Linked DNA regions of Caenorhabditis elegans. The protein of the gene in region 1 purifies or fractionates together with the protein of each later gene. This does not show direct contact. Each region holds a gene or a part of one and is shown on either strand. Other genes may lie near its edges. The genes, in order: C36A4.4, zig-12, exc-4 and ran-4.

Region 1 (4,561 bases):
ATTTTATTAATTATTTATATTTAATTACTACTGAATAGTTTTTGAATATTCTTCTTCTATTCGAATCAGGAAACTTTTGGAAACCGGTGCTAAGTCCCTTTGATGCTCCCGAGTGGACTTTGAAGGAGAAATTCGAGATATTAGAGCGTGAGCTTAAATGGGAACAAAGGCGAAGAACGACAGAGAAGCCATCATCCAAAGTGGTTTCGGTGGATCTACAGAGTCTGGAGAATGTTCGGATAGCAGCTTCTACTGCGACATCTTCGACAGCCACGGTGGCTCAGATGCACAAGAAGAGGAAGATTGCCTTCGAATTGGATCCGGTGCTAACAAGTCCCGCGTGGCAGGCCTATTAGGTAAGTTTTTTTTTTTTAATTTTTGTTATTTGCTTGTTTAAATTATTGCTCTTTTCAGGAAATTAATGACTAAATACATCCTCCCAACAGAAGGCACATTTCCAAGGATAACTTTTTTTTTTAATAAATTGTCATTTTTAAATTTATAAAATTGTACCAACTCATTCTAACATTTTTAGTATTTACAAAATCTGTATTCGAACTCGTTTCAGTTTACGAAAATTTAAGAAATTTAAAACAAATGGATGTCAAGCAATAATATCGGCCTAATAACTACGGTTTTTGGGGAAAATACCGAAGGAAATTTGAAAGCATCACGGGGATTTTAACATAAATAAAACACAGTTGGCTGGGAAATGATAGGGGAATGAGTAGGGCAATCAGTATAAATATGAAACAAAAGAAGACTAGACAACAAAGAATTTGTTAATCGAATGATCGGATTCCAAGGCACTATCAGAAATTTCACGATGACGGAGTTCTTGAAGATTCTCTCCGTTGTAGGAGACAATTGTCTTCAAGTAGATCGGCTTTTCAGTTGCAGTCACTTTCGCTTGAACACGTTCCAGCCACAACTTGTTCACATCTGAAAATCAGTTTTTAAATCAATTTTAATTCTGAATTCACAGAAAAATCTACTCACTGGACAAATCTCTCTGACAAGTGCTCAAACAATCAGTTCCAACAGATTGAGCATTTTTCAATGGAGAAAACTCTTCGTTCCTCGCCACCTCCCAAATGAAAAATCGCTTCGAGAGCTCGAAGACGTCGAAAATAAACTGCTCCAGCTTGATACCATTTGGTTTTTCCGGTTTGACAATGGTTCCCTGCTCATTCACATAGGAAATCTTCTTGTGAGCACGATGATATGGAAGACGAGATGATGGAGAGCAGACTCTGTATTTATTTTAAAATTAAGCTTTTTCTCCAAATTTGAAATTACAAACCTATCCATGAAATCCATCGTGAAAAAGTGATTTGCAATAGATCCTGCACCAAACAAATATTTTCCATCCGGTGTCTTTTGTTCAGCCAACTCGGCTCCAAGCTCCGAATATTCAACGACACGTGGTAGTCCTCTATCAAGACAAACTGATCCGACGAGTTCTCCTTTTTGCTTCGGAACACACTTGGTTGCAACGTCAGCTTCGTTTGAAATGGCGAATCCGATGAAATGAGGGTCGGCAACTTTGCACAGAATGTTGTCCACACAATACACATGGAAATATTTGATTCCTTTCGCGCGAAGACGTGGCAAATGAGCAGAGATGGCAGAGTAGAGACCTCCGTTGCCGTCTGAAAAAAAATATGATTTTTCGGTTTTTTGTGAGAAAATCGATAATTTTCTTTTTTTGAAATCCAGAAAAAAGTCTAGATTTTATGTTCTAAAAAAAGTTGAGTTTGATGAGAACACATTATCTTTAAAATATTGAAAATTCGATTTTTTTTTCGTTGAAAAACTCATTTTTTAAAATTTTTGTGTCGATTTACGCAGCTGGTGTACTCCCCGAGAAAGAATAATTATTTTTTTGTACGAAATTTTTAAGTATTCGGATAAAATACTTAATTTTAGATATTTTTTAAATTCAAATCGTCAACTAATTTATATTTTTAGTGTGTTTTGGGTGAAAATCCATGCAATTAATACTGCTTTCAATATTGACACCGAAAATACTTTAAATGTCATATAATTTTTCGTTTTGAAGATTAAAAAATAATCAAAAAGTCAGAATTATAGCTGAAAAATTCGTAAAAACAGTTTTCCTCGAGGAGTACACGAATTGCGTAAAAACTCATACTTGGAGCAGCAACAACAGATCCTTTAGTTCCGAGAAGGAAGTTTCCCTGCTCATCGTATGCAGCAATTTCATCTTGTGAGAAAATAGTAATTTGTTCATCGAAATCGAATCCATGATGAGCCGCCAGTTTCTTCACATGCTCACGAGTAGCCTCCTCTGTTCCAGGTGACGTCATAACTGCCCAGTGAATTTTTCCCGGATTCTGATGCTCCCGTTCTCCAGCGAGAGCCTGAAGAAGTGCAATTTTGGCAGCTTGAATTCCCAAAAGAGAATCTCCAAATGAAGCGTTAATTCCCAATGGAATCGTTCCTTTCGGTTGACTTGATCCAAGACGTGTAGCTTGTCCACCGGCGAGCACAATTGCACATACTTCTCCACGTCCAATAGCATCCATTCCCTTGTTCCAGAGACCATCGAGGATCTGAAAATAATGTAATTTTAATGATGGTTTTACCTAAATATTAAAAGTCTCTACCACTTGATGCAATTCAGCTTGTACAAAATGCTGAGAATCAAGAACCGGCTTAAGGTCTTCCGCAGTTGATGGAGCCCGTTGATCCGCTGAATCAATGAACCATTGATGAGCTTCCGAAAGGTTTAGAGTTGAAATTTGGTGGAAAAGCTTCGATTTTTCGGCATCCGAGAGCTCATTGTAAAAGTTGAGAAGTGGCTCAGAGCCCGGAAACTTTGAGATAATCTCGTCTTTTGGTGGAGCAGTGATGGTCATCGTACTGAAAATAATGATCAAAATTAAATAAACGATTCTCCGGTGGAAAACAATTCAAAAAGTGATAATACACGGCGCAAAGATAAGAAAATAATTATTCATAACGCTGTGTGTGGCAGCTTCTCTCTAATTACAGAAATGTTCATTTGGAAAATAGATAGACACAAAAAACTGCACTTATTTAACACGTTTCCTACTTTAAAACTCTAAAAACAAGGAGATGGAAAACAAGAAACACGACAAAATATTGATTGTTGGCTTAACGTTTTTAGAATGCAATAAAAACAGAGAATCTCTTGTTTCGCCGAAGAAAATGCGGAGAAATCCAATCTAAATGGAAAAAAAAAGTTTTTATTAAGAAAAATTCACTGAAAATGAAAAAAAATCTGCAAATTCTTCAAGAAAATGATGAAAAGATCACAAAACATATAAAAAAACATCTGAACATGGCGCCGCTGCCGCCATAAAAACTTAAAAGTACGCGAACACAGTGACGGAAAAATGCACAGAGTTCAATTCTCCCAATATATATATACCAGTGGATTTAAAAAGATTTTGAGTTTTTCGAGCACCGCAAGACTCAAACTTAATCTAAAAAATAACCAAAAAGACTAGCTTCCAATAGAAATGACGTATTGATTCAGCGACATTGAAAAAGTTGAAAATGAAAAAAATCCACCCATCGCAGGCGCTCTGCACTTCTACTGGTAGATCAAACAAAGAGGAGACTGATATCACTAGTGATCTTGATCCACGGCGGCAGCGGTCGTATTCTGATTTCCCTGCATTCTCTGCGTCTCTCACCGCGCTATATAAGGCGGCGAGAGAGCTCATTCGTGTTTTTCTGTCTCGTTTTTGTTTATTTGTTTATTTGTTTATTCTCGCGCGTTTTTCTTTAAAAAAGGTATTTAAAAAGATCACTGAAAAAACGTGCGAGGCTTGCGAAATGAGCGTGCGGTGGTTGCGAATTGGCACCGCCCACTGAAACCTTTTTTTTGTAAATCCTAAAAAATCTGCAATTTTGTCAGCAGCCAAGAAGCTTTTGCATTTTCCCTATAATTTTGTCGTTTATTTCACATTTTTGATTAGTTTTTGAACATTTTTAGTCGCTAATATGGTTGAAAAATGAACTTAAGTCTACAGAAAAGCGCGAAAAACTCCGAAATTAGGGTTTTTGTAATTATTTTGGCATAAAATTCGCCATAATTCAATCTTTCAGCGTTCTCTTTCATTTTCTACGTATACGTGCTTAAAACTGTTGAAAATTACTCCTTCTTTCCAGATGCCGGAAGAATACATCATGTCGTCGAAGGCATGCGTCTACGTCTTGGGCGGTGCGGCCAACACAGCCACCTTGTTTGATTTTGACGGCGTCTACATTCTCGATGGGGGATTCGCCGAAAAAAGCCCAGGATTCGTGGCTCACGTCAGGGACGTCTCTGCCGTGCTGCTCGCCGCGCCGACGCTTGGTAACCTCGGAACCACGTCTGCTCTGTTGGAACAGGTTTGTAGAAACTTTAATGAAAATTTTGATAATCTACTTTTTTCAGGGAAAACCGTTGCCGGTGTTCACCAACACGAAGCCGTTCAAGACTGCCAAGCCGGGAAGCAGTGGAGAGATTGCCAAAGCAATTCAAGAAGCGAACTCGAAGCTTCTCTCCGTTGCACCGCCACTGTTC
Region 2 (4,443 bases), on another chromosome or scaffold:
AACAACATCAGTTCTTCACAAAAATTGTCGGAAAAAGATTTTCAATCCAAGAAACCTGATTTTTGAACAAAGCCTCTAAACAGTGTCTAATGAGACACTAGTTTCAGCGCACACATTTTTTTAAATGGAGGTTTTAGGACAAAGTTGATATGTTCAAACAATGAAAAATTAAATAAACATTTTGTTACTTTCTCAAACCTTTCATTAAAAATATGTTTCTTGAGTTACAGTCGTTTTAGTAATCATCGTCAAAAACGGACTCACGAGATGCCCGCCGCTTTATTACTTGCCATGTGATGGATGAATAATTGCAACATGTAAAAATACATAGGCCTGATCACGAGCTACATTTTACCAGTTGAAAATTTTTTGGTACCTTTCCTAGTTTTGAAGTTATGCCCATTGGAAAAAATATCGAAATCGTCAAAAAACTGAAAGTGGATATCTTTTTGGCCAGCACTGTATATATATATATTGATTTCTGTACTTGCAAGTATATCTTCTCATGTTCAATGTGTCAAGAAACTTTTTTATTTTGGCTGATACCAATTCATGTGCATGGGACACAAAGTTCAAATTACTTTGAGAAGACAAATACTACAAAACGTTAAAAGTTACAGAAGAAAAAAAAGCGGAAAGTGCAACTACCAAAATCGAAAATCAGAAGCAACGATTAACATGAAAATTGATTTGAGGCTTTATGAATTGAATTGTATGACAATTAAAAACCAAGGGAAAATTTATAAAATTAATCGAAAACCAAGTTCAACGCTTGTTGGTTTTGTCCTTCGGAGTTCTTGACAACGCACTTGTATTTTGCTTCATCGTCTTTTTGTGGTCCGGTGATTTCGAGTAGGAATTGGAATCCGTCTTTGTCCTTATCGTCCTTCTTTACAACAGCCTTAACTCGGTCAGTGAATTTCACTGGTTTTTCATCCTGGAAGAATGAATTAGTGAAAAATATGAAATTTACTTTTTTTCTGTTAATTTAAAAATGATTTATACTAGACGGTCGTTCAGAAAATTTTTTCCAAAACAAGTTTGTTAATTTTATTTATCAAAGCATTCCAAAAAAACTCAAACTTGGTTCCAAGCATGCCCATTGAAATGTTCATTTTTCATTTTTCATTTTACATTTTGAACCAGACAACAAGTGAATTCTTTTAATGTTTATTGAACCTTTTTGCTTTTAGTTTTTTGCGCCATTTCTCTTTTTTGTTCACTACTCAAAACTTCGCTCTATCTGCTCCATGAGCCTCAAGTATCTGTCTCGGCACAACCCAAAGGCGCGGACGAGGAGGCCTCCCAACTTTTGTCTTATTTCCACACTTCTTTACATTACCCATCTCTGCCTTTCTATTTTGAATCCCCTTGAGAAAGCCGGAGAGGTTCACTTCGACTAACATAAATGTGGAAATTAGGACAACTACATTTTTTTCTTCGGTGGAAGAAAGAAGACAAAAGAAAAAAGACACGTCAGTCAGTCGATCCATCTTCGAGAAGCTCTATTCTGGTTCAACCAAAATGAATTTAGCAATGCCAAGAAAAATACCGAATAAGAATTCAGGGAAATTTTTTCCCCTAAGATTCAAAGTAAGGTGACAGACATACCTTGAACCATTCGGCCTTCATCTCAAGGTGGGACTTTGCGCGGACCTTAATCACAATCACATTTCCGTTATCTCTTTGAACAATATGTGGCTTGTCATGGAAGTCTGGGGCGTCTGAAATTGTATGTGTAAGCTTTTAGTGTTTTTGATAATGAGCTCACTTCCTGCTGCGACTGTGAAGTTAGAGCTGTTCTCTCCATCGGCGTTGGCAAAGACGGCTTTGTATTCTCCGGCAAGTGGTTTATCAAAGTCCTATAAAATGATGATTTAAAGAAGCAAAAAGGTGTTTTGTTAACAGTTAAAATTCATAATTCCGATTATTTTTTATCACAGGTAAAGCGGGATTGCTCAGAAGCGGCCCAATGGCAGCTGATAAAATCGTTTTTGTGTTCGGAGTTTTTTTTTAAGCTTAGAAAAACGAAATTTGCGACCGGGGCGGTCGACAATCGGCTTATTGGCTGACATGGAGACAGACCACCGGCGGACATCAGTTTTTTTTTTCAGTCTGCGGCATTTTGGACCGTTGGACAGTTTTTCAGTTGCTTTTCCGTTTTACCAGTAATGTAGCTTATGTGGTTTGTTTTTCAACTACTACTATCATTAGTAACTTTTACAATTATAGTTCCTAATGTGAAGTTCAAACTGCACGGCTTTTTTTAATGTTTACTGAATTTTCAAAATTACAGTTCACGTTATTGATGTATATTTAATGTGAGATACGAAAAAAATAAAGAATATAGTAAAGTAAAAAGTATTTTGTAATGATGAATGTACTTAGAGTTTCCTTTTGATCAAATGCTTAACCGTTGTTATGTTTTGCTTTTCACCTCCCGACCGACAGCTAATTCTGCTTTTGCCGCACTTTTGCCCAAAATCTACGGTAAGTCCATCAAAAACCAATTAAACGCAGATCAAAACACATACAGACAACAGTTGCAGAGCGCATCGCAGCAATGGGACCATAAAATGACTCGTGAGTCGTTTTATGTGATTTATACGAGATGCTTTGGCAAACAGTTGCTCTCAAACTGACCTTGATTTCGGCAACAAACTTGGTGCGGTTGCCTCCTTCGTCACTGTTTGAGAACTTCAGGAACTCGTTCTCCTCAAGCTCGTCTGGTCCGAAAAACCACTGAATCTTAGAAACATCAGCTCCAGTGACGATGACCTGGAAGAAAACTTAGCAATTTTCAAAAGGAAAAGCAAATTCGTACCTCAAGGAACACCGACCCGTTCTCTGATCTAATTTTTGGTTCTCCGTAAATTGATGGTGGTGCCATATCTGAAAAAATTAAAATCTGTAGTTTTATGATTGAATACGAAGCCATGAATATACGGAATCTCGGTAACCTAAAGTTTTACACACTAAAAGAAAAGAGGGGCGTGTTTTCTGATCAGGTAAGAGCGCCGCCAAGAGCGAATGAAAAATGATCTGCCAATGTGTTTTTACCATCATTTATCCATTGAGTTCACAGGAAAATAGGAGACGAAAGACTTCTTGAACGGTAGTTCGTAGTGGCTTTTGGGTGGGAGAACTAAGCAAACAATGTTTTATGTTCTCAATGAACAAGCACAAGTAGGGGAATGTTGGAGAAGATCTAGACAAGATGTGTCAACAGTATTTTGAGGGAAAACACTTTATAATGCTGAGAAAAAAAAGAAAAAGGCAAAAAGACCAATGGTTGAAGGTTGAAAAATGCTTCGAAAATTGAATCACTGGTTTTTTGTACATATAACAGTTGATTTTAGTCATGTTTTTTGTGCATTGAGATCAGCACTCAAGAATAAATTTAAAAAAAACAAATTTGAGAGGAGAACAAAAAATATGAAGAGGAGAAAAATGATGTCTCGCTTGTAGTTTCCAACTGACAAAAGTGCCAAGAGGTCGCTGTTAGAGTCCCATTTTCCCTTTATCTTTTTCTCTGTTTCACGAAGGTGTTGTAATTTCTACTTCTTCTGCTGCTAAGCTCTTTCTCCGCCTCCTGGTCGCTAGTCGGAGAACGAAACGACGAAAAAAGATGGGAAAGATGAATGTCCCGGGAGCCCCCCGGAGCTGCCCACAGATTTTGCGGAGGAGGAGAAAGGTGGATGGGATGGCACTTCCCACCTAACTCTTCATTTCTCGTCGACGTTGAAGATCCCAAAATTTTTACAAAGTTCTCAATGAAGAGCTGCAGGGCGAAGGCAAAGTTGACGAGACACGCTTCACAAAGGATATTTGAGAGTATTTTGAAATCGGAATCAATGAGCAATTTGGGAACGGATGGAAATGACGTCGCTGGTTGTTGTATGAGTATTAAGGATTTCAAAAGTTGTTAAATGAAAATGCCACTTTGAAACTGAGCAACTCGAAAGCAATGGATTTATAGACCTGTCACAATAGGACGATCATGATGTGCACATTTTTGCAAATCGCGGCGTGCGCATTGTGCATGGTTTCATTGATGATATCTGCATTGTACGTTCATAATGTCAATTCTTCGCGGTTCTTTATGACCACATTGCAATTCAACTATGTAGGTTTAGCATTGGGTCAAAGAACAATTTAGTTGATTGGCCTCATCTTACAATAAGCTGCATAATTTCCTATTTAGAAAGAAACCAGAGAATAAGCTACCAGACTTGGCCGAATAGAGCAATGTGGAAAACGATATAGGACACTTAAATGCCCCAGTCGCGTTAAAAATTAAAATATATTGCCTTTCTAGGTCTCAAAATGAGATGAATCCCAAAAATGGTAAAAACATAAGCTGACAATTTTTCAGTTAAAAACAAATTATTTTATAATAAACTTATATGAACCAAACTGTTTTCATTCTTACTTTTTTCTATC
Region 3 (7,861 bases), on another chromosome or scaffold:
TTCTGGACGATTTCATAATTTTTTTTCGATTTTTTTGGCATTTTTTATCAGAAAAATGTGTACTTAAGCCGTAAATCGACATAATTTTTAAAAGAGCCATTTTGGCATGTTGTTTCATTAAAATCTAATCACGAAATATAGAAATCGCAGAATCTAACCGAAAAACTTAATTTTACTTTAAAAAATTTTGCGAAGCAATTTAAATCTTTTACACGTGGTGTCAGACTGTCTCATTGCGGTTTGATCTATGAAAAATGCGGGAATATTTTTCCAGAAAATTGTGACGTCAGCACGCACTTAACCATGCGAAATCAGATTAGATGTCTGCGTCTCTTCTCCCGCATTTTTCGAAGATCAAAGCAAAATGAGACTTTCTGTGACTCCACGTGATTCTAATATTCTTTACCAAAAATATTTGTCACGGAATATAGAAAATGAGGTTTTCTAATTCAATATAGCTTTAATTCCAATTGAAAGGCTTTAGGAGGACATCTTGTCTGAAAATCGGGAGATTTCCCGCAATTTGCAACTTTCAGCTAGTTTTTTGCACACTTTAGAACTAAAATACCTCGTACCTTGTATTTTAGTTCAAAGTGTTCAAATCTCGTCTAAAAGTTGCGAATTACTGAAAAACCCCCCATTCCATTGCAATTACAATTACAATTTTTGTTACTAAAACCTTAAACCTGAAATTAAAATATATTTTTAGTAAGAAATATTGAAAGTAAATTCCACAATGGCTCATTTTTTATTACGGGAACAAGAAATTCTGAGAATGCGTACATCGCAACATATTTGACGCGCAAAATATCTCGTAGCGAAAACTACAGTAATTCTTAAAATGACTACTGTAGCGCTTGTGTCGATTTACGGAAATCGTTTATTAATTGATAGCGTATTAAAAGCACACTTTAAAAATAACACAGTAAAAAAAGCTACAGAAAATTGAATATCATTGTCTCGAAAGTCAGTCCCGTAAATCCACACACACAGAGCTACAGTAGTCATTTGAAGGGTTACTGTAGGTTTCGCTACGAGATATTTTGCGCGTCAAATATGTTGCGATGTACGCATTCTCAGAATTTTCTGTTCTCGTAATAGAATTTCCCCTGGAAACTAAAGTTTTCAAGCTATCTCGAACTTGCTTTGTATAATATTTTCTAGTAACAAAACAAAAAATTTCTTCAATTTCATTGAGAAATTCCCAGAAACAAATTTCCAGAAACATGCTAAAATCTGATGCTGAAATCCAAAAAAAGGTGTGGAAAACTCCCAAAACTAGCTATTAAATCTAAATTTTGAACATTCATTGGAAAATTAACAAATATTCGTAAAAAACGGATGTTGTTACCTAAAATTTCCAGTATTTACACCAATTGTCGTAAATATTTTCTCACTAAATTTAAAAATTCTCCATTTATTCGATATATATATATATCATTTACTATATATAAAGCGCTTATTCTGTGTGTCCATAGTTTGTAGTCTATGTGGTCTTTGTAGTCTGTGAAGTTTTGGCTTCTGGAGGGATAGTGAGTTAGGGTTAGTGTAGGGATATAGTCGGGGTACTGTAGTGGTACAATAGTGGTACGGTAGGAATACTGTAGGGTTACGGTAGTTTCATAAAAAATTAATTTTCAGCCCCAGAAGTCGGGGGCCGCGCCGAAGGTGCGGTCCACGGCTGGTATATATATATATATATACCAGCCGTGGTATATATATATATATATATTTAAAATATACACTAATTTTCTTCTGTTTCTTCCGGATTTATTGTGTTATCTCACCAAATTTTCCTCTCCAACAACCACCGCTAATTCCAGATATGGCAGAAGCTTACCAGATCCAATCAAACGGAGATCCCCAATCAAAACCTCTTCTCGAGCTCTACGTAAAAGCGTCAGGAATTGATGCTCGCCGCATTGGAGCCGATCTTTTCTGTCAGGAATTCTGGATGGAGTTGTATGCTCTTTATGAGATTGGAGTTGCACGAGTCGAAGTGAAGACTGTCAACGTGAATTCTGAAGCATTTAAGAAGAACTTTCTCGGAGCACAACCACCGATTATGATTGAAGAGGAAAAAGAGCTGACATACACTGATAATCGAGAGATTGAAGGACGGATCTTTCATTTGGCAAAGGAATTCAATGTTCCACTCTTTGAAAAGGATCCATCCGCTGAGAAGAGAATAGAGAACTTGTACAGGGTGAGTGTATGGAAGAAGAAGAAGCCCGGAAACTGTCGATTTACGCGGATCGTGTACTCCTCGTGGAAAAGATTCTGTAGTTTTCAGGGTTGTGGGGCACTTTTTTTTCACTTTTTCGTCAAAAAAATGAATTTTTAGTCTAAAATTGATATAGAAATATAGAAAACGGGTTGTTCTATTTGAAAATAACATTTACTTTTGTTGAAAATCTTGAAAAAGACCTCAAATAGTGCCTGAAAGTTGCCGTTTGCCGGAAAAGTGCCGTTAAAAGTTTTTAGATTAAAAAAACTGGGTTCTTTCAAAATGAAAATCCCTTTAATCACATACACATGAAAATAACATTAATTTTTGTTCCGTTTGCCGGAAAAAGTGCCGATTAAAGGTGATTTTCATTTTGAAACAACCCAGTTTTTTTAATCTAAAAACTTTTAACGGCACTTTTCCGGCAAACGGCAACTTTCAGGCACTATTTGAGGTCTTTTTCAAGATTTTCAACAAAAGTAAATGTTATTTTCAAATAGAACAACCCGTTTTCTATATTTCTATATCAATTTTAGATTAAGAACGAATTTTATTTTCCACGAGGAGTACACGATCCGCGTAAATCGAACGCCTAATGTGTTGATTTACGCGGATCGTGTATTCCTCGTGGAAAAGATTATCCAGTTTTCAGGGCTGTGCGGCACTTTTTCGGCAAAAAAATAAATTTTTAATCTAAAATTGATATAGAAATGTAGAAAACGGGTTGTTCTATTTGAAAATAACATTTATCTTTGTTGAAAATCTTGAAAAGCCGAAAAAGTGCCGTTAAAAGGTTTTGATGACTTTTTCAAGATTTTCAACAAAAATATATGTTATTTTCAACTAGAACAACCCATTTTCTACATTTCTATAAAAATTTAAATCAAAAAATGGATTTTTTGCGAAAAAATGCCTTGTACTCCACGAGGAGAACATTTTGCAGTTTTTGCTGATTTATAGTGTTTTCAGTGAAACAAAAATACATCATTTCCCCGGGAAAATTGAAAATTTTTGTTAGAAAAAGCGAAAAATACAAGTTTTTAACGAAAACTCTGAAAATTTCCGCGAAAAATATTTAATTCATCAATTTTCAACAGGGTTTCCCCACGAAAATCGTCAATTTTCGTAAAATTCTCGATTTTCTTTTGAAAATACCGAATTTTTACCGAAAAATAATCACTTTTCCGCCAAAAACTGCATTTTTTCAGAAATTTCTGGTTTTCTCACTGAAATGCAACATTTTGTCATTAAGTTATCGATTTTCTGATTAAAAATACCAAATTTCATAGAAAATATGAAAACTGCAATAAATTGATTTAAAATATTGATTTTCAGCAAAATCCGTAAAATCTTCTCCTCGGGGAGTACACGAGGCTTCACACAGCTTGATATCTCAAAAATGTCCTTTTTTCGATGAAAAAATTTAGAAATTGGTCCAATTTTGTCTTAACAGTATGGAAAATTCTGTTTTTTCCTAAAAAAAAAAAAGAAACATTTCCCAATTTTTCCGGAAAAACTTCAAAAAAAATCCAATTTTCCCGGAAAAACTTCAAAAAAAATTAATTTTTCCGGAAAAACTTCAAATAATTCCAATTTTTCTGGTAAAACTTCGAAAAAATCCATTTTTCACGACGCGCGTAAATCGACAAAGTTAAATTTGACGTTTTCCCCCGTCTAATTTCCTCTCATTTTTCAGAACTTCAAACTGTTCCTGCGAGCAAAAGTAGAGTTCGATAAGGGAAAAAAGGAGCCATCGAGAGTTGAAGATCTTCCAGCACAGATTAAAGTTCACTACAATCGAGTCTGTGAGCAACTATCCAATATTGATCAGGTAAAATACACACAGAAATCTGCGAAATTGCCCATTTGCCGAAAATTTTAATTTTCGGCAAATTTTCCGGCAAATCGGCACTTTGCCGGAATTGAAAATGTCCGGCAAGTTTCCGATTGCCGGGAAATGTTAAGTTTCTGCAAATTGCCATTTTGCCGGGAAATTTTAAGTTTAGGAAAGCTACCTATTTGCCGAGAATGAAAATTTCCGGCAAATCGGCAAAACGGAAATTTTGAATTCCGGCAAATTGTCATTTTGCCGTAAATTTCAATTTTCGGTGAGGTACCTATTTTCTGGAAATTTTAATTTTCGGCAAATAGGTACTTTGCCGAAAATAAAAAATTACGGTAAATCGGCAAAACAAAAAATTTCAATTCCGGCAAAGTGCCAATTTGCCGGAAATTTTCAATTCTGGTAAATTGCCGAAAATGATCAATTCCGGCAAATTACTGATTTACCGGAAATTTCAATTCTGGCAAATTGCCGAAAATTTAGTATTCCGGCAAAGTGCCAATTTGCCGGAAATTTTCAATTCCGGCAAACTGCCGATTTGCCGTAAATTTTAATTTTGGGTAAGTACCTATTTTCTGGAAATTTTAATTTACGGGAAAATGGCAATTTTCCGGCAAATCGACACTTTGACGATACAGAAAATTTCCAACAAATCGGCAAAACGGAAAATCTCAATTCTGGCAAACTGCCGAAAATTTATTATTCCGGCAAATTGCCAACCTATCGGAAATTTTAAAATCCGGCAAACTGCCGATTTGCTTGCCGGATATCAATTTGCCGGAATTTTATAAAAAGATTTTTGATAATACTGAAACACTTCATAGGATGCGTTTTCCGTTTGAAATTGAAATTCATAAAAAGTTTCAGAAAAATATATGCGCAATTGCCGGTTTGCCAAAGTTGCCGGAAATTTCTAGCAAACCGGTAATTGCACATTTTCCCCAATTTTCCGGCAAAATCCCGATTTGCTGGAAATTTCTATTCTGGCATTTTGCCAAAAATTTAGTATTCCGGCAAATTGCCGATTTGCCGGAAATTTCAATTCCGACAAATTTTCCATTTTGCCGTAAATTTTAATTTTAGGCAATGCAAATTTCCGATGATTCGCCGGTAAAGTACCTATTTTCTGAGAATTTCAATTCTGGAAGTTTGCCAAATTTGCCGGAAATTTGGCAAACCGGCACTTTGCCCAATTTCCCAATTTCCCCAATTTTTTGTGATAAATATTGTTTATCGCATCTTGTCAACATAATTCCATCAAAAATTGCCCCCATTTTATTGCAGTTGCTATCCGAGAGAAAATCTCGATATCTACTTGGAAACAGTATGACTGAATATGACTGTGAACTGATGCCACGTCTTCATCATATTCGAATTATTGGATTGTCACTTCTTGGATTCGATATTCCACATAATTTCACTCATCTCTGGGCTTATATCCTCACTGCATACCGTACAGCAGCATTTATTGAGAGTTGTCCCGCCGATCAGGACATTATTCATCACTATAAAGTGAGGATGAAGCTGCAAACTACAGATTTGTTAGCCGGAATCAGGGGTGCCGAGGAACAATGTTTTTTGTTGAAAAAACCAACCAAAAAAAAATTCGAATTAGCCATGAAACATACAATTTTTATTCTAATTTTGTCTATATTTTAATAAGAAAAAACATACGAATTATTATTCTGAAAAAGAAAAAATGGCCAAAAGGTTTTAGTTCAGAAGATTTCGGAAAAATTCAATTTATTTAAATAATATATCTCCAGTTTGATTTATATGAAAAATGACAAAAATTGTGGCTTTGGGGAATAATTTCGACTTTTTCATTGAAAATCTTTTTTAAAAAAACGAGAAAACTATTGATTTCTCAAAAAATATGCTAATTTTTATGTGAAAGTGTAGAAAAAGTCTTTAGAAATAGCAAAAAGACCAGAAAAGGATGTTTTTTTTTTTTTGCTTGCAACAATTCAAAATTTTCGATTTTCTCTTGAAAAAAATCCAAATTTCGGCCGATCAGGACATTATTCATGACTATAAAGTGAGGATGAAGCTACAAACTACGAAGACTCGACACTACAAACTACAGATTTGTTAGCCAGAATCAGGGGTGCCGAGGAACAATTTTTTTTTGTTTAAAAAAACCAACAAAACATGCAGAATTCAATATTTTTATTACAGCTCACGCCTTATTTCATAGAAACAACAGAAATTGCACTTTTTGAGCAAATTTGACCCCAGTGTTGGGTTTTTTGAGAGAAAACCGAGACAGGCGCGACTAAAAATGCACCATTTTTGAGGTTTTAAACGCCAAATTTATATGAAAAATGACAAAAATTGTGTAAACTAGTACTTTTTCACGCTTTGGAGAAATAGTGCACTTGAATTTTCGATTTTTTCATTGAAAATCTAAAAAAAAATCGAAAAAAAAATTTTTCCCGATTTTTCCCGGAAATTCTTCCATTTTTCGAACAAAATTTGGAACATTTCTGATTATTTCAATATTTTTAGCGAAAATCTGGAAATTGTTAGTGTTTCCACTTTCGATTTTGACCAAAAAAAAAACCAAATTTCGGCTTAAAAATTGCTAGGATCGTCAATTTTGCTTATTTATTTAGCCTGAAACGAGTTTAAAAAAATAGCACGATTTAAGGAATTTTCGAGGAAAATAGTACTTCTCACGATCTCCTCAAAGCCGATTAATTATTAGAGCGCGCTTGCAGCGCCTCGCGTTTCTGCATCCGGGGTATTTTGCCTTTCCACTGAAAAAAGCAGCTTTTTTTTCAGATTTATCGAATTTTTAGCTTTTAAAAATTTTTTCCTGCATTTTTCGAACAAACCGTTTTGTTTAACAGTGAAAATCGAATTTAGAATGACTAAAATGAACTTTTTTCGTCCACTGGTTGTGAAATGGTTTGAATTTGAAGAAATCAGCGGGATTTTTCTTATTTTCTAAATATTTTTCTATTAAAAATTGGATTCAACATTTGTGACTTAACGTTAGGGTCAAAAAATGGTTTGCAACCGATTTTTAATAGGAAAATATTCAGAAAATACGAAAAATCCCGCTGATTTCTTCAAATTCAAACCATTTCTCAACCCGTGGACGAGAAAAGTTCCTTTTAGTCATTTTAAATTCGATTTTTACTGTTTAACAAAACGGTTTGTTCGAAAAATGCAGGAAAAAATTTTTAAAAGCTAAAAATTCGATAAATCTGAAAAAAAAACTGATTTTTTCAGTGGAAAGACAAAATACCCCGGATGCAGAAACGCGAGGCGCTGCAAGCGCGCTCTAATAATTAATCGGCTTTGAGGAGATCGTGAGAAGTACTATTTTCCTCGAAAATTCCTTAAATTGTGCTATTTTTTTTAACTCGTTTCAGGCTAAATAAATAAGCAAAATTGACGATTCTAGCAATTTTTAAGCCGAAATTTGGTATTTTTTAAAGAGAAAATCGAAAAATTTTAATTTTCCTGGTCTGCAAGCGCGCTCTAATAATTATTCGGCTTTGAGGAGAGCGCTTGCTTCTATGATAATTAATTTTTTTGAAAAATGTTTGGTGTAAATTTTTCAATTTTACAGCGAAATCAACAAAAGTTTGGTGCGGCTAACAAAACTCTAGTTTGTAGTCGTTTCCCAATTTATGTGATTTTTAAACCCCAAAATTCTCTGAATTTGCAGGAACAAATGAATCTGTTCACAAATCAACGTGAAACCCTCCAATCGCCAACAAAAACGCACACAATTCCGGAAAAAGTGCTATCGGATATTCGTGTTAAAGGACTTGCTCCCG
Region 4 (2,879 bases), on another chromosome or scaffold:
ACAATTACGTTGCTTTTTCTACAAGTTTTATATTTGAACTACGTTCCAATAATTTGTATTTGAACGTTGTATGAACCTGCAAGATGCTCGGAATTACTAAAAATAAAATCTTTAGAAAATCTGGCAGTTTTCCAAAATGTGACTGAGATTTTTGAAAAAAGCTCACATATTCTTCTAAGGCGATTTCACAACTTTTACAGGCTAAAATGTTTTATCTTGGATGGGATTTTCCTTTTGAGAAAGATGTAATTAATACTGTCAAAAATCAAGACCAAAAACTTTAAAAAAATTTTGATTCTCGAACTATTACACAAGCTGGGTAAATCGACACATAGTTAGAGGTTCACATAAATTTTCTTCCATTTTTAGAAAAAAATTTGGGAGTTTTAAAGCTTGCTCAAATTCAGTCAGCAAAATGGTATACAATTTAGTTTTAAAATGTTTGGCTTACTTATTTTCCTTTCAATTACAAAAATCTACATTTGAAAACTAACTGAGTATATGTATCGCTCATAGAATTTTGATAATCATGTGAGAAGCAGTATGTAATGAGTTCGGAATTGCTTGCATTAATTTTGTCAATGAACTGTTACCAAGGTAACCATAAATGTGACTGGATGAGTTTGATGTAATGAGCTCTCGAAAATTGATATCATTTCAGTTCTGGATGATGTGAAAATATAATAGTAACGGTTCTTTATTTTCAGAAAACGTTGGCTTCAAAAGACTGGTCAGGTGCCGAAAAGGGAAGAGTGAAAGAACATACATATATGGTGTTCGCTAAGGCATGAGGATGCGCAGAGATGGAAAATTATTTCAAGTTTCTATAAATTACAGAAAATTGATTTTTGAAATGCCAACATTACGGAGTAAGAATAAAGTTTAACTTCTTATTCAATTGGTAGAATGGAAAGAAATAAAAAATGGAGCAACAACAAAAGAGGAACATAATTTCAGTGGTTTTGTCGTTATTTTGTTGCTTTTCCAGCTCTGTTTTCCATTTTGGCGAGCTCAAAGAGACATAAAAACAGAGCCAACCAACTCTTTTTTCTCTGCGCCTCTTCAACAAAAAGAGTGACGACAAGGCGATTTCTCTGCTCATAACGTGTTCTCTCTCGTTTACACACTCTCTCGCTTTCTGTGCAGTAATCGCGCTCCGCTGGATTATGCTACAAAATGTGCGCGCGATGCTGGCACCTTGCCATTTTATTCTGATTTTCCAATTTATTTAGGCATTTTTATTTTTTTTAATCGGTTTTCTCTTGTGAGGAATCAAATAATTCATAATTATTTTTAATTAAACTTCCCAAGAACGAACAAAACGCAGGAAGACAATACTGTTCTTTCGAAAACTGAAACATGAGGCCGAGGGTTTAAACTTTAAAAACTAAAAAAAAACAATTTGGTTGCTGTTTATTTTTCTCAATGCGAGCAAGACCACTGCTCATCTAACAACTAATTTTCAAAATTTATTGAGACAACCCATCTCGAGTAAATATATAATTCAATTGTTTCGAAAATTATCGTATTCTTCGTTGCTTTTTCCTACCTATCTTATTTATTTTTACTCTTTTTCAATTATTTTTCCCAATTTGTCGTTTTTAAAGGAATGAGCTTCAATCCTGATTACGAAAGTGTTGCAAAGGCCTTCATTCAACATTACTACTCAAAGTTCGATGTTGGCGATGGAATGAGTCGTGCTCAAGGTATTTCGTCTGAAAAAAACAATAAACTTAGTGAATTTCAGGACTCTCCGATTTGTACGACCCAGAAAACTCTTACATGACTTTTGAAGGACAGCAAGCGAAAGGCCGTGACGGAATTCTCCAAAAGTTCACGGTTTGTGCAAAAGTACGAGAGTTCAATAACGAAACACTTTTAGACTCTCGGATTCACAAAAATTCAACGAGCGATCACTGTGATTGACTCTCAGCCTCTGTATGATGGATCAATTCAAGTGATGGTTCTTGGTCAGCTCAAGGTAAGTAGAAGTAGTTTTCAAAAAAACCGAAAAAAAATTATTCAGACCGACGAAGATCCAATCAATCCCTTCTCGCAAGTCTTTATTCTCCGTCCAAACAATCAGGGTTCCTACTTCATCGGAAACGAGATCTTCCGACTTGACTTGCACAACAATTAGATATCAATTCGTCCACTTTCCTATCAAAATGTGTCCCCGTATTGAACAATTTTTCAAGAACTGAATTTTCACCAAATTGCTTAAATATCTATTTCAACCCGGCTTTTTCCATGTTTCTAAATCGGTTTCTTTCCCCACACAGTTTCGTGTCGTTTTACTATTTCGCACAATTTCAAACTTCTAGTTTGCAAATCGGTTCAAACTAAAGAATGAAGTTTTTATCATTTTCTTTCCGAGATATCGAGAAAATTTTGTTTAATTCGTTATTATTAGTGGTTTTTCAACCTTTACAATACCTTTGACTTTTTCAGCAATGACCTCAAAAATATAAAAATTAAATACAGATGGTGAAACAAGCAACAAAAGGGCAGAAAGAGATCTATGAGGAGAATCAGAAGACTGTCACCACTTATAGTGTGGCTAGCACGATTAGCATGGTAAACATTTGTAATTTCACATTTCAACGATTTTTTAAAAATTGTTTTAGGCAATCTACTATTCATCGTGTATGTTTCTGAGCCAGTGCTCTTCCACCGATTATGTATTTTTTGCTGTCTCAGCGCTCGTGCAGATCTTTGCTATTCTTTTCATGAAATCTTTAGCTAGTAAGTTTGTCTTACCCATTAATTTTTTGTATTAATCTGAAATTATGATTTTAGAAGCAAAGCTTGACGATAAAGGACATGTTTTGGATGCTGGTGCCGATTTGAACGATCCAGAAGCATTCGGAGAATACTGT

Evidence for each region.
Region 2: the proteins of C36A4.4 (region 1) and zig-12 fractionate together in Caenorhabditis elegans (co-fractionation; one large-scale study listed by BioGRID). This does not show direct contact.
Region 3: the proteins of C36A4.4 (region 1) and exc-4 fractionate together in Caenorhabditis elegans (co-fractionation; one large-scale study listed by BioGRID). This does not show direct contact.
Region 4: the proteins of C36A4.4 (region 1) and ran-4 fractionate together in Caenorhabditis elegans (co-fractionation; one large-scale study listed by BioGRID). This does not show direct contact.

The regions. Positions count from the first base shown.
Region 1 is NC_003281.10:3,840,729-3,845,289, forward strand, and holds C36A4.4 (putative UDP-N-acetylglucosamine pyrophosphorylase), read right to left. Parts: upstream 2,887-4,561; 5' UTR 2,883-2,886; coding exon 2,631-2,882; intron 2,577-2,630; coding exon 2,156-2,576; intron 1,653-2,155; coding exon 1,304-1,652; intron 1,254-1,303; coding exon 1,000-1,253; intron 943-999; coding exon 764-942; 3' UTR 518-763; downstream 1-517. Other genes in the region: C36A4.11 (uncharacterized protein), read left to right, coding at 158-356, 415-422; maph-1.3 (Microtubule-associated protein futsch), read left to right, coding at 4,165-4,386, 4,433-4,561.
Region 2 is NC_003284.9:8,762,356-8,766,798, reverse strand, and holds zig-12 (Ig-like domain-containing protein), read right to left. Parts: upstream 2,893-4,443; 5' UTR 2,891-2,892; coding exon 2,825-2,890; intron 2,779-2,824; coding exon 2,644-2,778; intron 1,863-2,643; coding exon 1,772-1,862; intron 1,725-1,771; coding exon 1,612-1,724; intron 1,467-1,611; exon of another isoform or gene 1,321-1,466; intron 938-1,320; coding exon 749-937; 3' UTR 519-748; downstream 1-518.
Region 3 is NC_003279.8:14,512,680-14,520,540, reverse strand, and holds the start of exc-4 (Chloride intracellular channel exc-4), read left to right. Parts: upstream 1-1,821; 5' UTR 1,822-1,825; coding exon 1,826-2,206; intron 2,207-3,923; coding exon 3,924-4,058; intron 4,059-5,354; coding exon 5,355-5,582; intron 5,583-7,749; coding exon 7,750-7,861. UniProt on the Caenorhabditis elegans protein: May insert into membranes and form chloride ion channels. Involved in the formation of the excretory canal. Required to prevent cystic lumenal expansions in the excretory cell.
Region 4 is NC_003279.8:8,589,608-8,592,486, forward strand, and holds ran-4 (putative nuclear transport factor 2), read left to right. Parts: upstream 1-1,607; 5' UTR 1,608-1,609; coding exon 1,610-1,706; intron 1,707-1,747; coding exon 1,748-1,839; intron 1,840-1,882; coding exon 1,883-1,981; intron 1,982-2,026; coding exon 2,027-2,140; 3' UTR 2,141-2,371; downstream 2,372-2,879. Other genes in the region: tmem-208 (Transmembrane protein 208), read left to right, coding at 2,485-2,577, 2,628-2,745, 2,800-2,879. UniProt on the Caenorhabditis elegans protein: Facilitates protein transport into the nucleus. Could be part of a multicomponent system of cytosolic factors that assemble at the pore complex during nuclear import.